Ovis aries: one gene and its partners. The protein of the gene in region 3 interacts with the protein of the main gene of each other region in a biochemical or structural test. Links are inferred from orthologs where the notes say so. Each region holds a gene or a part of one and is shown on either strand. Other genes may lie near its edges.

Evidence for each region.
Region 1: the proteins of ETS2 (region 3) and CREBBP form a complex in vitro, tested with the Homo sapiens proteins (2 studies listed by BioGRID, with this or other methods). The link is inferred for Ovis aries from reciprocal best matches to the Homo sapiens genes ETS2 and CREBBP.
Region 2: the proteins of ETS2 (region 3) and ZMYND11 form a complex in vitro, tested with the Homo sapiens proteins (2 studies listed by BioGRID). The link is inferred for Ovis aries from reciprocal best matches to the Homo sapiens genes ETS2 and ZMYND11.

What each region holds. Positions count from the first base shown.
Region 1 is NC_056077.1:3,655,775-3,660,826, reverse strand, and holds part of CREBBP (CREB-binding protein), read left to right. Parts: intron 1-1,803; coding exon 1,804-2,046; intron 2,047-3,181; coding exon 3,182-3,284; intron 3,285-3,557; coding exon 3,558-3,704; intron 3,705-4,521; coding exon 4,522-4,639; intron 4,640-5,052. UniProt on the Homo sapiens protein: Acetylates histones, giving a specific tag for transcriptional activation. Mediates acetylation of histone H3 at 'Lys-18' and 'Lys-27' (H3K18ac and H3K27ac, respectively).
Region 2 is NC_056066.1:46,443,564-46,448,615, reverse strand, and holds part of ZMYND11 (zinc finger MYND domain-containing protein 11), read left to right. Parts: intron 1-1,487; coding exon 1,488-1,575; intron 1,576-2,054; coding exon 2,055-2,110; intron 2,111-3,227; coding exon 3,228-3,305; intron 3,306-4,126; coding exon 4,127-4,245; intron 4,246-5,052. UniProt on the Homo sapiens protein: Chromatin reader that specifically recognizes and binds histone H3.3 trimethylated at 'Lys-36' (H3.3K36me3) and regulates RNA polymerase II elongation. Does not bind other histone H3 subtypes (H3.1 or H3.2).
Region 3 is NC_056054.1:271,783,181-271,788,685, reverse strand, and holds the start of ETS2 (protein C-ets-2), read right to left. Parts: upstream 3,660-5,505; 5' UTR 3,375-3,659; intron 1-3,374. UniProt on the Homo sapiens protein: Transcription factor activating transcription. Binds specifically the DNA GGAA/T core motif (Ets-binding site or EBS) in gene promoters and stimulates transcription.

The DNA of each region.
Region 1 (5,052 bases), on a different chromosome or scaffold from region 3:
GTGTACTTTAAGACATAAATGCTTTTAACACACACAAAAATTACATTGACCAAGTCAGCAGCTTCCATGAGAGGAGGAAGTCCGTAAGTAGTCCATAAGTGGCCTTGAGCTTGGGAGTGGCCCTCCTCCTAGGATGGGGAATTTGGGGTAAAAGGATGGCATTTGGGGAAGTGTGGACATGAGTGGATTTTAGTAGAAAGAAATCATTGTTGAGGCACTGCTATTGCATCTTCACCCAAAACCCAAAGCCTTGTACACCTTGTTTCTTTAAATTCCTCTCTCTCCGCAGTTGATCAATATGCAAGTCAATATAGGCCTAGGTCTGTTCCTCCTTACCCCACAGAGTAATAGAAAAACAAGTCATCTTAGCACTGTCACTTGCCTTTCTCCACTGCACTTCCTTTAGATGAGTCAGCATGTCAGTTTCAGTAGTACAATGGCATGTGCTTAAAGTTTCGTGGAGTATTAACTATTAGAAAAAATACCTTTAAAAGTATTATACATGACTTATTTAAGAGCTACATACTTATCATAAAATGTACCTTGGAAATTGCTTTTCATTTATAATAATGAGGTGCTTGGTGTATATAATTGTGTCTAATGAGCATTAATGAGTTTGAGATCTGAATATTCTTCTTAGAAAAGTTAAATAGTATGGAATATGTAATTATCAAGGGCTTTTTTTTAAACACATTTTGGTTTCGTTAAGTTACTCGGATAAGTGTTTGAGTTGTTTATATTATAATTGTGCTGATGGTGATGTGAAGATATTATTATTACAGTAATGGTCTGAATTTTAAAGAAAAATTTTGTGATAGTGTTTTATGTCTCAAAGATCTTATGTTATAGTATCAGTTTTATAACCTGCTGTTTATGACATGGCTCTGAAGTTTGGGGAAGTTGGAAAGAAAGGAACTGTTAAAAATAAGAATCAGTGGTATGATGCAGAACTTCTGCCATATGTTGAATCGATTAGGACATTTGGACGATGGACAGACAGACGGACAGATGGGTATTTGGGTCTTCTCTGTTAACTTTGAAGCCCTTGGGAATGGAGCTCTTTATGTTGCTACAGATTTTCCTCAGTCAGCCACGGTATTTCTTGAACAGCTTCACATAGCAGAGAGCTTAGCATCGTGCCCTCCCACGTAGGAAACTCGGAGCAGAGAAAGGCGTGGTGTTGCCTGGTCACTGTACACCATGGGTTCAAGGAAATGCAGTTTTGTTTTTTGGAAGATTGTGTCAGAGATCGTAATTAAGTTACTGTTACTTGATACCTTTAGTAATTAAGATATTAATTAGGTTAATAAGTAACAGAACTGACCAACTAGGCGTCTCCTCCGCTCCTCCTCCTCTTCCTCCTCTGTGCCTGTGCACTGAGCAGTGAGGGACCCCGAGGAGCAGCAGCAGGAGGGGCTTCTTAGCTCGCCTCAGTGGAGGCTGATGACCCCCATGTTTTCCCATGTTTGCTGTTTCCCCAGAACAGACTTCTTATGAGCCTCTACATTTAATACACGCTGACCTTGACTGTGTGATCGCTGATTTTCTGGTCCGTTGTTTTCTAACATAGAAGCTTGAATTCTCTTCAGATTTTTGTTCTTCGGGTGCCGCTGTGCAGATGAAATTAATAGAATGGGCTCCTTCTGTCTGCACAGTTCCTTTCTTGGTAGCGGGGTTCCAGTGCTTCATGATATACATAGGTGGTCTTCTGATAAAATTTTACTTGTTTTTCAGTCGTTTTTAACTCACTTGTAGACTTTTCCCTTTTACTTATCTCTTGTGTTTGTCTGTTTGTTCTTATAGCCATCCTGGGGTCTCCAGCTAGTGGAATTCAAAACACCATTGGTTCTGTTGGCACCGGCCAACAGAATGCCACTTCTTTAAGTAACCCAAATCCGATAGACCCCAGCTCCATGCAACGAGCGTATGCTGCTCTTGGACTCCCCTACCTGAACCAGCCCCAGACGCAGCTGCAGCCTCAGGTTCCTGGCCAGCAACCAGCACAGCCTCAAACTCACCAGCAGATGAGGAGTCTCAACCCCCTGGGTAGGTGAAAGGACTCTCGAGAACTTCCTTGTGCAAATGCAGTGTCGGGAATGACGAGCCTTCTGGAGCCCAGGGCTGTTTTCAGCTACTGTTTTACTTTAAATTCAAATTTTAAATTTAAATATATATATATGTAATAAAATTCAAATATATATATTATGGTGAATGGTGTCTTTTAAATGATTAAAATAAAAAAATTCCAGGAAAAGGCTAAAGAGTCAGGTACACTGAAGATGTTACAGGCTTGTAAGATGAATCACATTTGCAAATGAACCAACATTTTTGTCACTTGTGTCTGGATAGTTTTCATAAAGGGCATTTCACATGGCTCAGAATGCAAAATCTCACAGGTTGGAATTAGGGCAGTACCACTTGCCTTGACTCTGCAGCTCCTAGCATTTCTTGGTTGTGGACTACGTGTGACTAGAGCCGACCAGTCTGAATCCGGCCAAGCTAACAGGGATCTCAGAACAGGGTTGTTGTGGTGGTTTGGTTCTTTTCCTAATAAAGTATTTTCACTTTAAAGATACTTCATCTGTTGCGTGTTGGGAAATAGTTGCCCTAATGCATCTCTGACTCCTGCTGGCTAGAAGACTGGGTTGGAGTCTTGAAATGTCCCTTCCAGTCTGACACCACTTCTGTTGGTGGTATAATCTGGAACAAGACTATTAACCTGCATCCCACCTTTCTCTTACTTTAGAACGAATACTGTAGACAAATTGACCTTTTGTCTTCTTCACGTGAAGTTAATTTCTATGATTTTTATCTTCTGATATGCAAAACAAAAAGATGAAGAAGTGTATGTGATGGGAATGAAGCCAGAATCAAAACCGAAGCTGCAGATGGATCATTTCTGATTTTTTTCCATAGCCGCCAAGCATTCATGCTGCCAGCCAGCCTCCGTAGAAATGCTCTTCTTTGGTTTTCAAGTGCGATGGGAAGCAATTGAATTTATACAATTTGACCACCATTATTGAAAATATAACTCCCAGAGTTCCTGCCATAGCATTTATTATTATGAGTCATAAGAATAATTTTCATAAGAATCATTTCTTTATATGTGACTTATCTGTTATTAGGACTTTGAGGTGTATAATTTAGGAGCTCGTTGATTCCTTTTCTTTTTGTCTTTCAGGAAATAACCCAATGAACATTCCAGCAGGAGGAATAACAACAGATCAGCAGCCACCAAACTTGATTTCAGAATCAGCTCTTCCAACTTCCCTTGGGGCTACAAAGTAAGACCCTTGTTTCATTTGGCTCCTGTCTGAGTGACAGTCACATGTTAAAGTGGGCTGGGAACCACATAGAACTCTTGGTTCTTTCTAAAGTGTAGGGCTGTTTCCCTCCCTCCCTTCTCTCTCCCTCTCCCCTCCCTCCCTCCCTCCCTCTTTCTTTCTTTCTAACAGATAACAGAGTTTAAAGTCACATATGGTTGAAGACCCTTAGTTGGATGAATGTCATGTGAGTCACTTTTCCAGTTGGATGACCTGTTCTTCCTCTCCCCTCAGCCCCCTGATGAATGATGGCTCAAACTCTGGGAACATTGGCACCCTTAGCACTATACCTGCAGCAGCACCTCCTTCCAGCACTGGCGTTCGGAAAAGCTGGCATGAACACGTCACTCAGGACCTGCGGAGCCATCTAGTGCATAAACTGTACGTGGCCCTCTCGCCTGTTACTCACATGTGATGGAAGCACTTTGTGACTGATGGCAGTGTGATAGTTTTGCAGTTTCCTGGGTATCTGATTTAACTCCCAGGTGTTCTTTTGTGTCCCAGGTGATCATACCCTTGCAACTGAAGGGGATCACGTGCTTGTTTAGGGAGGCTGGAGGATCCCAGATTCTGAGTGCCCAGTGGATCCTGGAAAGGAATATGAACTTTGACCCATGTCACAGGGGCAGGCCTATTTTCTAAACTCTCAGTGCATGGGGAGCTGGAACTCACTCAGAAGCTTGTCTTATTTTATGGCTCAAGGCTATAGTTGTGGGGAGCCCTGAGAATTGCAGGAATTTGGGCCTAGTAAATACGGATGGCTTCACAATACCATCATACAATTAACATGGGAAATTAATAGTTGATTTCTCCAGCAATTTAAGTTAAATGAAGGGTGACATTAATCAACTCGATTCCGATGGAGTTTTCTTTTTTTTCTCCTTCATTATTTTAATCAAAATTTTTTGTACTTAGTAGTTTAAAGATTAGGAATTCAAAATCATATTATTCTTGAGTTGGTCAAGCACTTATTGTTAATAGCAAAATATTGTTGTGTTTGATTTGTGGATAAATTGGCAGATCAGCATTGTCTCCAGAGAGTGACTGCGCATGAACTAGGCAAGAGATTGGGGGTCTCTCAGCAATGTACTGTGCCCAGAGGTAGACCGCGGTTTCTTCTCTTCCCGGGTCACGTCTGAAATGGCAGGATGTTGACATTGTACTAAAAGTAGGTTGAGAGTACGCGCTGTCCTTTCAGTGTCCAAGCCATCTTCCCGACACCTGACCCTGCAGCCCTGAAGGATCGCCGCATGGAGAACCTGGTGGCCTACGCTAAGAAAGTAGAAGGGGACATGTACGAGTCTGCCAACAGCAGGGTGGGTCAGCGTTCGCGTTCCAGCCGCATGGCCCCCGGGTGACCTGTGACTGCAGGTCTGGACGTGGGGAGGAGGGGGGCTTCCATCAGCCTGCTGGTCTCCTCGCCTGAGGACACTGACCAGGGAGATGTCCCAGCTAAGACTTGAGGTCCTCCCTGCATACCTCTCTTGGTTTGTAACTGCAAAATCTTAAAGTGTCCCCACTACAGGGGTAAATGAAGTTTTTCTAATTTGTGGGTATACTTTATAGTGGAGTGTTGTTATACTATGTTGTCACCTGTGTCAGTGAGTATGCAAGAAGAGGTTCAGCTGTGGAATGAACTGTCATGAGGACTTAGTACCCCCTGACTGTTAAGTCACATAGCATCCCTGGGCTTTGGTTTATGAGTTAGAAGTGCTGAATACTTTACCCA
Region 2 (5,052 bases), on a different chromosome or scaffold from region 3:
TTTCCCATGAAGTGATGGGACCGGATGCCATGATCTTCGTTTTCTGAGTGTTAAGCTTTAAGCCAACTTTTTCTCTCTCCTCTTTCACTTTCATCAAGAGGCTTGGAGTAATTTTAAATCATCTGCTCATTCCTTAATCTGCTTAATAGCTGGAAAAACTGAAGGTGTATTATTTTAGTGGAAGAAATGGGCAAGTGAAGGTTGTTCATAAACACGAGCAATTTTAATTTTACCTCTTACCCCTACACTGCGTAACCTCTGCAAACAGTGAAGAGCCTGGTTGTCCCTCCTGCCCTCCCCCCGTGGTGCCCCCACATTCTGCAGTTTGACTCCCTCAGTTCAGGGAGCTCAGTAGCGGGGCTGAGGGTGTCTTATTAGCAAGTGCTGACCATGAGCAGAAGCACCCTGAAGGAAATGAAGAGGAGGAAGACCTGGTTTTTATGCTTCCAAAGGTTTACAGTGGAGACCAAAGTGCGAGCTGTGATGATGCATGCGGACTGCTGGGTGTGGGTGTGCCCACCTGGGTGCAGGCAGGCAGCCTGGTGGTACCTTGCGCCCCTGAACCAAAGACTGAGACGCTCAGGGTGGAGTTTGGGTATCAGTGCTCATGGAAGAGCCCTGTGACCCTCGATGCCAGACAGACGCCATCGACTGTCTTGGTGCGCAGAGGACCAGCAAGGACTTGATTTTAAAACTATGTCAGCCACCTTGCTCTAATTCAGAATTGCCTTGTCTTCTTTGTGGTAATCTGTCACAGAGGCTAACAGCTGTTTCTTCTTTCAGTTTTATTTTCCTGACTTACATAAATGGTTTGCGCTTCTCTGGTGGCTCAGATGGTAAAGAATCCACCTGCAATGCAAGAGACCTGGGTTCGATCCCTGGGTTGGGAAGATCCCCTGGAGAAGGGAACGGCTACTCACTCCAGTATTCTGGCCTGGAGAATCCCATGGACTGTGTAGTCTACAGGGTCACAAAGAGTCAGACACAACTGAGCAACTTTCACTTTCACTTTTCATATTAGTGACTGTTCTCGAAACCAGAGCCCTGAGAGAGTTGCTGAGAAAATTATTCTTATTTTTCAAAGAAGCCCTGTTAATTATAGTACAGGCCTGTGCATAGCATATTCCCTACATGGTACATATGTAGTTAGGTCTCATCAACCCCACTACCAAAGCTTTCATTATGTACAGCACTTAGCCGCAGCTTTTATCATTGTTACAGATGAGATGTTCACACTGCAGTAACAACATGACTGAGAATATGGGACCTTCCGCACTTCACCATCCTGGCATACCCTGAGTGTAGACGGAGTTGTGGGTTTCTTTTATGAACATTCTGTCAGTATGGACACAGGAGCAGTAGACACAGGAGCAGTCGTAATGCCATTCTGGAAAATCTTGCTGTTTCCCACATTCTAACACTGTTAAATTGATGGCAAGTGTTGTCACTATTAACCATTGGCCATTTTGGTTTTTTTCCCTCTGCAGAAAGTGAACGAAGGGAAATACCGAAGTTATGAAGAGTTCAAAGCTGACGCTCAGTTGCTTCTCCACAACACAGTCATTTTCTATGGAGGTTCAATATTTTTTTTTGTGTAGTTTTTTTTATTCATATGTTTACATTGCATGTCGAGAAATATCTTTTATAAAACATTACACTAAAACAATACCTGAACAATCTATAAGTAATAATGTTAGGGTTTAAACTTAAAAATATTTAGTAATATAGATAACTACATATAGCTTATAGAATTGACTGGCCAAAAGCAGAACTCTAGTATTTGTTTTTTCCCTTCAATATCCCCTCATTCAAAAGGAGTGAAAGAGGCCAATCTATACTGAGAGTATTAAGTTGTGTTGAATATAAAATTAAAGTTACCTGCTTACTTTTCTTTTATTGCCTGAATTATAAATACATGTTTTTATTTTCCGTGGTATATGTCCACTTTTGTTAAACTGAAAGAAAATTTAAATGGCTATATGAATTTTGGTAGTCTTGTGCTTCCTGGTAGTCCTGGGATTACTGGTGATAGACACCTGTCTTTATAATTGCAGCAGACAGCGAGCAAGCGGACATAGCACGGATGCTCTATAAAGACACCTGCCATGAGGTACTGTCCACACCTAGCACCTGAATGCTTGCTGTTTCCTACATTAACCTGTTTTAGAATTCCATTCTGATATGTACATTTTAATGTTGCCATTTCTTTAAATATAATCATATTTCCATGTTTGACATACATGGTGTATAATGCAAACAGAGAGACGGGGGCCGGGGGAGAGGCTAGAATTCTGGCAGAACTGTTCTCAGAGACTCTAATTCTGGGAATTAGACTTAGTTACTAAGTAACTTCTAGTGAGAACAAGAGGAAATTGTTTTCCTTAACTACCCTAAAGTGAATTAGTTAATGTGACTGCATGTAAATGTGTTGCACTGGGCAGGCACTCAATAAATGTTACCCTCTTTGAATAAAAGATACAAATTTGAGTTCTTACTACACTACACAGGCAAAAAAGCAGCCCAACATCAGCATTCATAATTAATAATATATGAAATATATATTTAGGAAATTTTTTTTTGGGTGGCCTTTCTTATTTAAAACATTCATCTGTAACCATATTATCTTTGCAAAAGTGTCTCAATTTATATAAAAAGTTTTGTTTCTTTATTCCATTTATGATATGACTTTTCCATTCATTAAACATGTTTATTGAGTGTGTGCTATGTGCTGTGTTAGGAATGAAATAGGGGTCAGGATGCTGGCTTCCTGCTCATACAGCTGTGTTCTGAGGAAGGAGACTCAGGAAAAGGAGAGACAAATTAGTTTCTTTACAAAAGTTACAGAAAATATGAAAGAAAACAGAACTAAAATGGAGAATGAGGCAGAGTAAGGGCTGCTTTTATTGGTAGTGGGTATTTTCTGTGGGCATCTCAAGAAGACATTTCTGGGGGAATAGCCTTTCATCTGTGTGTTGAACTGGAAGGTACCGGTGAGGCTGGGGAGCCAAGGGCAGATGCAGTGCGCCCTGAGGAATCAGTCTTTTCTTTCGAGTGTACTCTGGGCCCTCTTGGGAGGTTCAGACAAGAGAGTGGCATTGGCGAACTCAGCTTTGAAGCTTAGAGTTGAAGACTGGAAACACGAAAGAGAATGCTGCTTTACATGCCTCTCTCTAGTTTTGTGCGTGCATTTATTTTATGGAGGCTAAACAGTTATTTTTCTTTTTCAGCTGGATGAACTGCAGCTTTGTAAGAATTGCTTCTATTTATCAAATGCTCGTCCTGATAATTGGTTCTGCTATCCTTGTGTATGTGAAATTTTGAGATTTTCTTTTTTTTTTTTTAACCTCTTCAGTGTCTCTGATGTACTGCTCTAAGGAAGTTTATTCCAGTTTGGTTTAAGATTATAATCCTTCTAAATATTTCTCTTTATATCATGGTTTTAATGAGTATAGAAAACTGAAACATAGGAAAAAAAACAACTTGGGATCAGTATGCATTTCTGACTTTAAAATGAGAACTTTAAGAATGGGAATAAACATCAAATCCCTTAATAAATAAAAAATTTCATTATCTCACAAGAAATCTAAGTCTTTATGTATAGCTGTGTGATTTCCCCTAGAATGACATGTTAGTGCCAATGGTTTCTCCTCTCCCCACCACAAGGGTATAAGAGCCTGCCTGAGAGCTCCCACTTCCTGAGACATTACAGTGCTCTTCAGGCACCTGACGGTCTCATAAAAATCTGCATCTCTGACTTAGTAGGTTGGGAGGAGGGCCTGAAAATCTCCCATTTCTTACAAGCTTCCAGGGTTGGACTATATTTCATGAAGCAAAGTTAGGGTTTTCAGTTTGCCTTTGGTACTCACATGGGTCTTGGTTTCCTTCCAGAGTTCCATGGGCTGTCAGGAGATTCTTTTCACTCCACATTGCTTATGGAAATTTTAATTTTTTGGTGTGTTTCTTGGAGGCAAAAATCAATCAGTCCTGGGGTGGGGGTACATTCTGTATGTTTAGGACTTATAAAAGAAGTATTGCAAATATTATACCTAAGTAGGTCAGTGTTAATGATAAACTTGTATTTAATACTTTACGAGTAATATGACAAGATAAAACGTTTTATTTCCAGATACCTAATCATGAGCTGGTCTGGGCTAAGATGAAAGGCTTTGGATTCTGGCCGGCCAAAGTCATGCAGAAAGAGGACAACCAGGTTGACGTCCGCTTCTTCGGTCACCATCACCAGAGGTAATCATGACCCGCGAGCCACCATCACCCTGGGCCTTCAGGAGCCCTGAGGTAGACCCAGGCCTGCAGTTCCCCGTGCTCTGGGTACTTTGCCATCAGGAACAATGTGAAGTGTGTTTTAAATTAAAAAACAAACCAGCATATAACTTGACTGGGCACCTTAATGGGACAGTTTCAGTAGCAGAATTTAGAAGGGTGAACTCAGAAGGGTGTCAATGGTGGGAATTAAGTGGAGAGCTTCTTAGGATGGTCCCTTTCACAGAATTGTATTGTCCTTGTGGGAGTTTCTACCAACTTGTCAAGGTTCTGTCAGTCATAGACAAAAATAATCAGCTCGGGAGTATAGGAGAGTGTGGGTCTTGTGATCTAAGAATGGGTATGAGGGAAGAACTTTGACTTAGTGTTTTGAATTTCATTAACGGTTAATTTAGAAAAGTGAAGAATTGTTATGCAGAGCTCACCATGAATAAATATAGTAGATACTCTTTAGCTGGTTCCTCATATCTCTGCACCTAGTGGGGAAAGAAAAGGTAGAGACGTAATTATGGACTATCCCTCCATATGTTCAAACCAGAGCCTGCTGCTCCCTCCCAAGCACAGAGCAGGTTGTGATGCTTTGTCCTGGTGAGCAGGTCTGTGGGCATGCATGTCTGCAGCGCCAACTCTTCATGCTGCCTGTGGTTGGAGGGTGGATGGCACAGGCAAGAAAGAAGGGGCACATCCTGTCAGATCGCGGCCCATCTTATTGTGCACAGATTCAGAGAATTCTGAATTCGGATTGACAGATGTGTAGGTATAGCCAGATCC
Region 3 (5,505 bases):
GTGATTTGCTGTAATCAACTGAAAACTTATCTGGGGCCCTAAAACGTTACTGTTTGCCAGGGTAAGTTAAATATTAGTACATGAGAAAAGTACTTAGGTAATCCTGCCAGAGCATTAGATGAAAAAAAAAAAAAACAGAGCAACTGAAGCTGATTTTCGAGTACCCTGGGAAAGCCCCCACGACAGCAACCCACCCTCCTGGCTTCAGGACCAGGAACTGGAGATCTAGAATAGGGAACTTCAGGGGTATCTCTCACTGCCCACTCTGAGGTCTCCACTAGGTGCTGCTACCTGTTTCAACCAAAACTTTGAGTAATTAAAATATTGTGCAATGGCTAAGGCTGACTAGCAGAGGCAAACAGCATATTTTCCTGTAACTACTTAATTCGAGTTTGTCCTTTCTTATTTTCCCTTTTTGGTCAACATTATGGCTAAACCAGACCTCCTAAGGACTCAGCATACAGACACAGACACACCTCCTTGGCTAGAAAGGCAGTGTGGGAGGAGAGTCCCTGCCACAGGGGAGGCCAGAGGCACTGGGTGTATGTGGGTGGGGGTGGTGTGCACGCTCAGTCGTGTCAGACTCCATGACCCCATGCACTGGAGCCCGCCAGGCTCCTCTGTCCATGGAATTTTCCAGGCAAGAATCCTGGAGTGGGTTGCCATTTCCTCCTCCAGGGGATCTTCCTGACCCAGGGATGGAACCTGTGTCTCCTGCACTGGCAGGCAGATGCTTTACCACCGAGCCACCTGGGGGCTGGGGGGAGTTGTTAAAAACCTCTGAGGGCAGGTCATCATCAGGGTGGCCAATCAAATATCAATATACACTATGGATGATCACTGCCCTAGTAGGTTCCTCCTTTCAAAGACCTAAGCCTGAGCTGAGGGACCACACCTTGCCACCTTACTCAACAGTCTGACATCCCTGAGAGGTAGATGTTATGCCATCTGACTGAGAGGCTACAGAGACCCCCCTGTCCCAGGACTTTGCCCAGGATCTCAGGGCTACTACTGGGGGCGGGGGGACCCTCAGGAGCACGGAGCAGACCAAATCCCATTGGGGGTATGGTGCGACCTGAGCTCCGCCTTGAGCCAGGATCCCCTGAATGGTGAGGCCTGGACCCTCCTCCCAGCAGTAAACAGCAGAGATCACACACAGATACCACAAGACTAGACTCCTGCTCGAAGACTTTGCACAGATGCAAAATGCTCCTTAATGGAGAGCTTTATGCCACCAATCTGCATGAAAGCAGCCCTGTCACCTGTTGATGACATCAGCAAGCCTCAAAACAGGAGATCAAAATGAAAGGATATCTGGGGTGTCGTCAGTTACCCATCTCCTTCTCCAGATGGGCAGACTTTATTCCACATTCTTGAGCTCCACGGAGATGGACCGAGAATAGATGTGGAAGGCCATGGAGCAGCCTCGCCTGGTTTTTGTGTACAAATTCTGCGAGGAAAGGCAGTCTACCACTCCCATATAAAGAGCTCTAATTACCAGCTGCGGAATAGAATTCTTTTGTTGTCCGGCTTTTAATTTGTTTTGTAAAAACCATGTAGAATCAGAGTGCTCTACCAGTGGTTTCTGGCAAACACTTAGCTAATCAAATTTAAGTTCCCGTTTTACTCAACAGGTTCACAGGTGGCTCAGTGGTAAAGAATCTGTTTGCCAACGCAGGAGACACAGATTCAGCCCCTGGGTTGGGAAGATCCCCTGGAGAAGCGAACGGCAACCTACTCCAGTATTCTTGCCTGGAGAATCCCATGGACAGAGGAGCCTGGCGGGGTTCATGGGTTTGCAGAGAGTGAGACGTGACAGCGTCTAAACAACAGTTCTACTCAACATGGCTTGTGAAGATAGCAGACAGGCCACATCAGTCCACATAAATCAATTTCACATTCAGGCCTTTCTGCCATTGCCCTATTGATCGCTGCTCTTGAGCAACAACAGAAAAAAAATTGGGTAAATGGCAGACATGTTCAATTTTAAAACAAGTAGAACTTGCTCAACAACAGGACCCTTATGGGAACAAGTGATTGCTTCTGCGAGATTAGAGCACAGGTTTGCATTTAGGCAAATTGAAAAAGGAAAAAAAAAAAAAAATCAAACCCTAAGCGCACTTTTGAAGATTGGTTTTCTTTTTTCCTTTGAAAGCTATCAATTTAGGGAGAGGAAAGACTAATCCCAGAAATGAGTGTTAGACTATTTCCCTGCAGGACACACAGTGCTCTAGTTTACTGTACTGTGATATTATTCATAATTTTAATAAACCTTAACTTAGAGATTTATCTCCCTGATTGGTGGCGGTGTGAGACGGCAGAAATCGCACAGGCGCTTCCACTGCACGGAACAAGATGAATCTCTTACCGGTAAATTAAAATTAATTACCCCTATCTCCAAAGGGGGCTGCTCATTTCTTTATTCCCTAAATAAACTGCAGGTCAAATACTATTTTAGGATACCCTACAATTGAATACAGGCCAATACAAAAGTCTCGAGTGCTTACAAAAAAAAAAGGCCATATACGCACAAGCGCTGTTACCCCTTCGTCCAAAATGCTGTAAGATCCCGAAACTGGAGGCAGCCTTGCGCACCCATAAGCCCATTTCCGACACTGTCCCCACGTTCACCTCCCGGCATCAAGGGGCCCGAATGCAGAGGTCTTGGGGAGCCCGCGGGGGTCTCGGTAGAGCCGCCGGACCCTCCCCGGGCCCCCGTCGCCTGCCGCCCTGGCCGGGCCCCGGACGCGACAGCGCAGGTGACCGGGAGCGGGGGTGGGAGCCGCAGTTCCTCAGGTGTTTCAGGCGCCCCGGATCTTGCCGGGCCCGGCGCCCTCCGGTAAGTCACCGGCAAACTGGGGCGCGCCAGGGCCCCTCCGACACCTTCTCGCGCGTCCCCCAAGCCCCCAGGCGAAACCAGGTTCGCCCGGCGCCCACCGGCAGGAGCCACCCCCGCCTTCACGCCTGCCTTTCCTTTTAAAACAAAAGCAAGTGAAACAAGCCGGCGCGCCCGGCCCGCCCCAGCCGCCTCGGCGACCCCAGGCCCCGCGGCCCAAGTTCGGAGCCGGGTCCGCGCGTCACGGCCGGGCCCACCTCGAACCCTGCTCGCCGCCCACCCACCTACCCCCAAAGCCACTCGGCCACCCAGGGAAAGAGCCCCAAGCGGACCGATCCTGGACGCGCGACCCCAGAATCCCACGAATAGTCGCCACCCTGCCTGGACACCAGCTGCGCCCCGGGGATCTGGGGCGCCACCCGCGTCCCCAACTCGGTTCCTGGGTTCCCCGGGAGAAAAGCGAGCGCCGCAGGGCGCTCCCCGCCCGCCGACCCCCGCCGGACCCCAGCCACCCCACCCGGCCCGACCCCGCTCTTACCGCGCCGCTTCGGGCAGGGCCGCCCGGGGCTCGAAGCCCGGGCTTCCTCGGTGCGCGCCGGCGAGAGCGCGGGCGCGGGCGCGCGAGTAGGGTGCTCGGGGAGCCCGGGGGCGGCGGACGGGCTCGGGGCGCTCGGGAAGGCCGGGGCGGACCGGGGACGGCGGGCGGGCTCCGGGAGATCCGCGAGGCCTCGGCGGGCCAGGGCCGGCGGGCCGGCTCGGGGCGATCGGGGCGATCCGGGCTGTGGCTGCACCGCGCTCAGCGCCGCCGCCGGAGGAAGTAACCGGCCGGTCCCCTCCGCCGCGCGCTCTTCTGGAGCCGGGGTATCGGGGGGAGGAGGGAGGAGGGAGGAGGGAGGGGACATAGGGACAAGGAGGCGGGGCGGAGGGGGAGGGGAGAGAGGAGGAGGGGCGGCGGAGGGGCCAGGCGGGGAGCCTGCGTGCGGAGAGGAGGGGCCGAGGGGAGGGGAGGAGCACGGAGCCGGAGGCGGAGCCGGATCTGCCCAGTCGGACCTCGCCCGGCGCCTGCTGTCGCTCGGCGGCCGCTCACCCAGGGCCGCTGCGGGTCTGGGCCTCCGAAAGTCCTGCGCCCCGAGCCGTGTGTGTCCCGGGAGCTCAGGACGAATCTTTCTTTCTTTCTTTCCCGGGTCCGCCGCTTTAATCCCCAAAGGTGCCCTGGCAGGACCGGAGTAGCTAGCTAGCGCTGGTGCCACCGAGTGGCCGCGGGGTTTGGTCCACCGGGGGACTCACTGTGGCCCCATTCTTGGACATGCTTATGGACTTATGATTTCCGATAGTTTTTATTCCGAGCGTTCTGTCGGGAAACACGCTGAGATGACAAAGGTACGAAGTGGACCCTCGGTCAGTCACGAAGTCCCCCTGCTCCGGGAAGCACCCCCCTCGCCCCAATCCTGCAGCCTCCGTGTGAGAAGCGCCCCTAGAGTTGAGCGGTGCCTTGGTGATAACCAGCCTTGGCTGGGCTTCCCTGGGTTGTGCCAAGTGGCTTCAGTCGTGCAGACTCTTTGCGACCCCCTGGACTGTAGCCCGCCAGGCTCCTCTGTCCATGGAATACTCCAGGCAAGAACGCTGGAGAGCATAGCCATTTCCTCCTCCAGGGATCTTTGAACCCAGGGATTGAACCAGCATCTCTTTCATCTCTTGCATTGGCAAGCGGGTTCTTTACCTCTAGCGCCTGGGCTAGTCCTCCGTGATAATTCTCCAAGGCCTCATTGTCCTCGCTTTATATATGAGAGAACTGACCCTTAGGGCAAATAACTTGCCCAGTCAGAAGACACACAAATGGGAGATTCAGGGTTGAAACTCCAGTTTATCTGACTTCCAACTATGGTCAAAACTGTGACCGGTACCTCCCGTTTCCATTTTTAGCAGGAAATACTTGAGTCTCTGGCTAGAAATGTGCACATTTCCTATTCAGATTCAGATCAGATTCTCAGTATTTTGGTGGAAGATTTAGTTTCCCAAAGGTGGGTGTAGAATGAAATAGCTCAGCTTAGGCAAGGCCAGGGACTGGAAGTTGGTGCATCTCAGAAACCGCAGTGCTGTGAAGGGAGAGGGAGACAGCCTTCACTTCTCTGTTGCCAACGTTCCCGGTTTCCATGGCAACCCTGAACCCAGGAGTTGTTCAGATAACTGAGATAGTATTGCACCTTAATGTTTACAGGTACCTGAGGGTCTCCAGGACTCACCATTGCATAGGTCAGAGGCCGGGTCTATACAGCTCAAATCACCAGGAGCAGAAACGGTTGATAGTTCCAGCAGATTGAACGGATTTTAATGGCTTCTCTGTGTACATTCAGGCCTGGATCAGAAATCATAGATGGATAGATCAGGAAGGAATTTCATAAGTGGGATACAGATCCATAGTAAGTTACCATGGAGACATGAAGAGTATGCTACCTTTTTATTTTTTTTTAACTGTACCGGAAAATACTGACTCATTCGGGCTGCAGTTTCAGCTAACAGAGGGACTTTCCCCCTAGGCTACTGAAAGCATCTGAGAAACTTGGAAAACACAGCCATTAAGTCAAGTTCAGTTGCCCAGCTGCTCCCGTATCCATGGGTATCAGGGCTAGGGGGCCCCTGAGACCCAGTGATCTTTGGGAAGACATCTT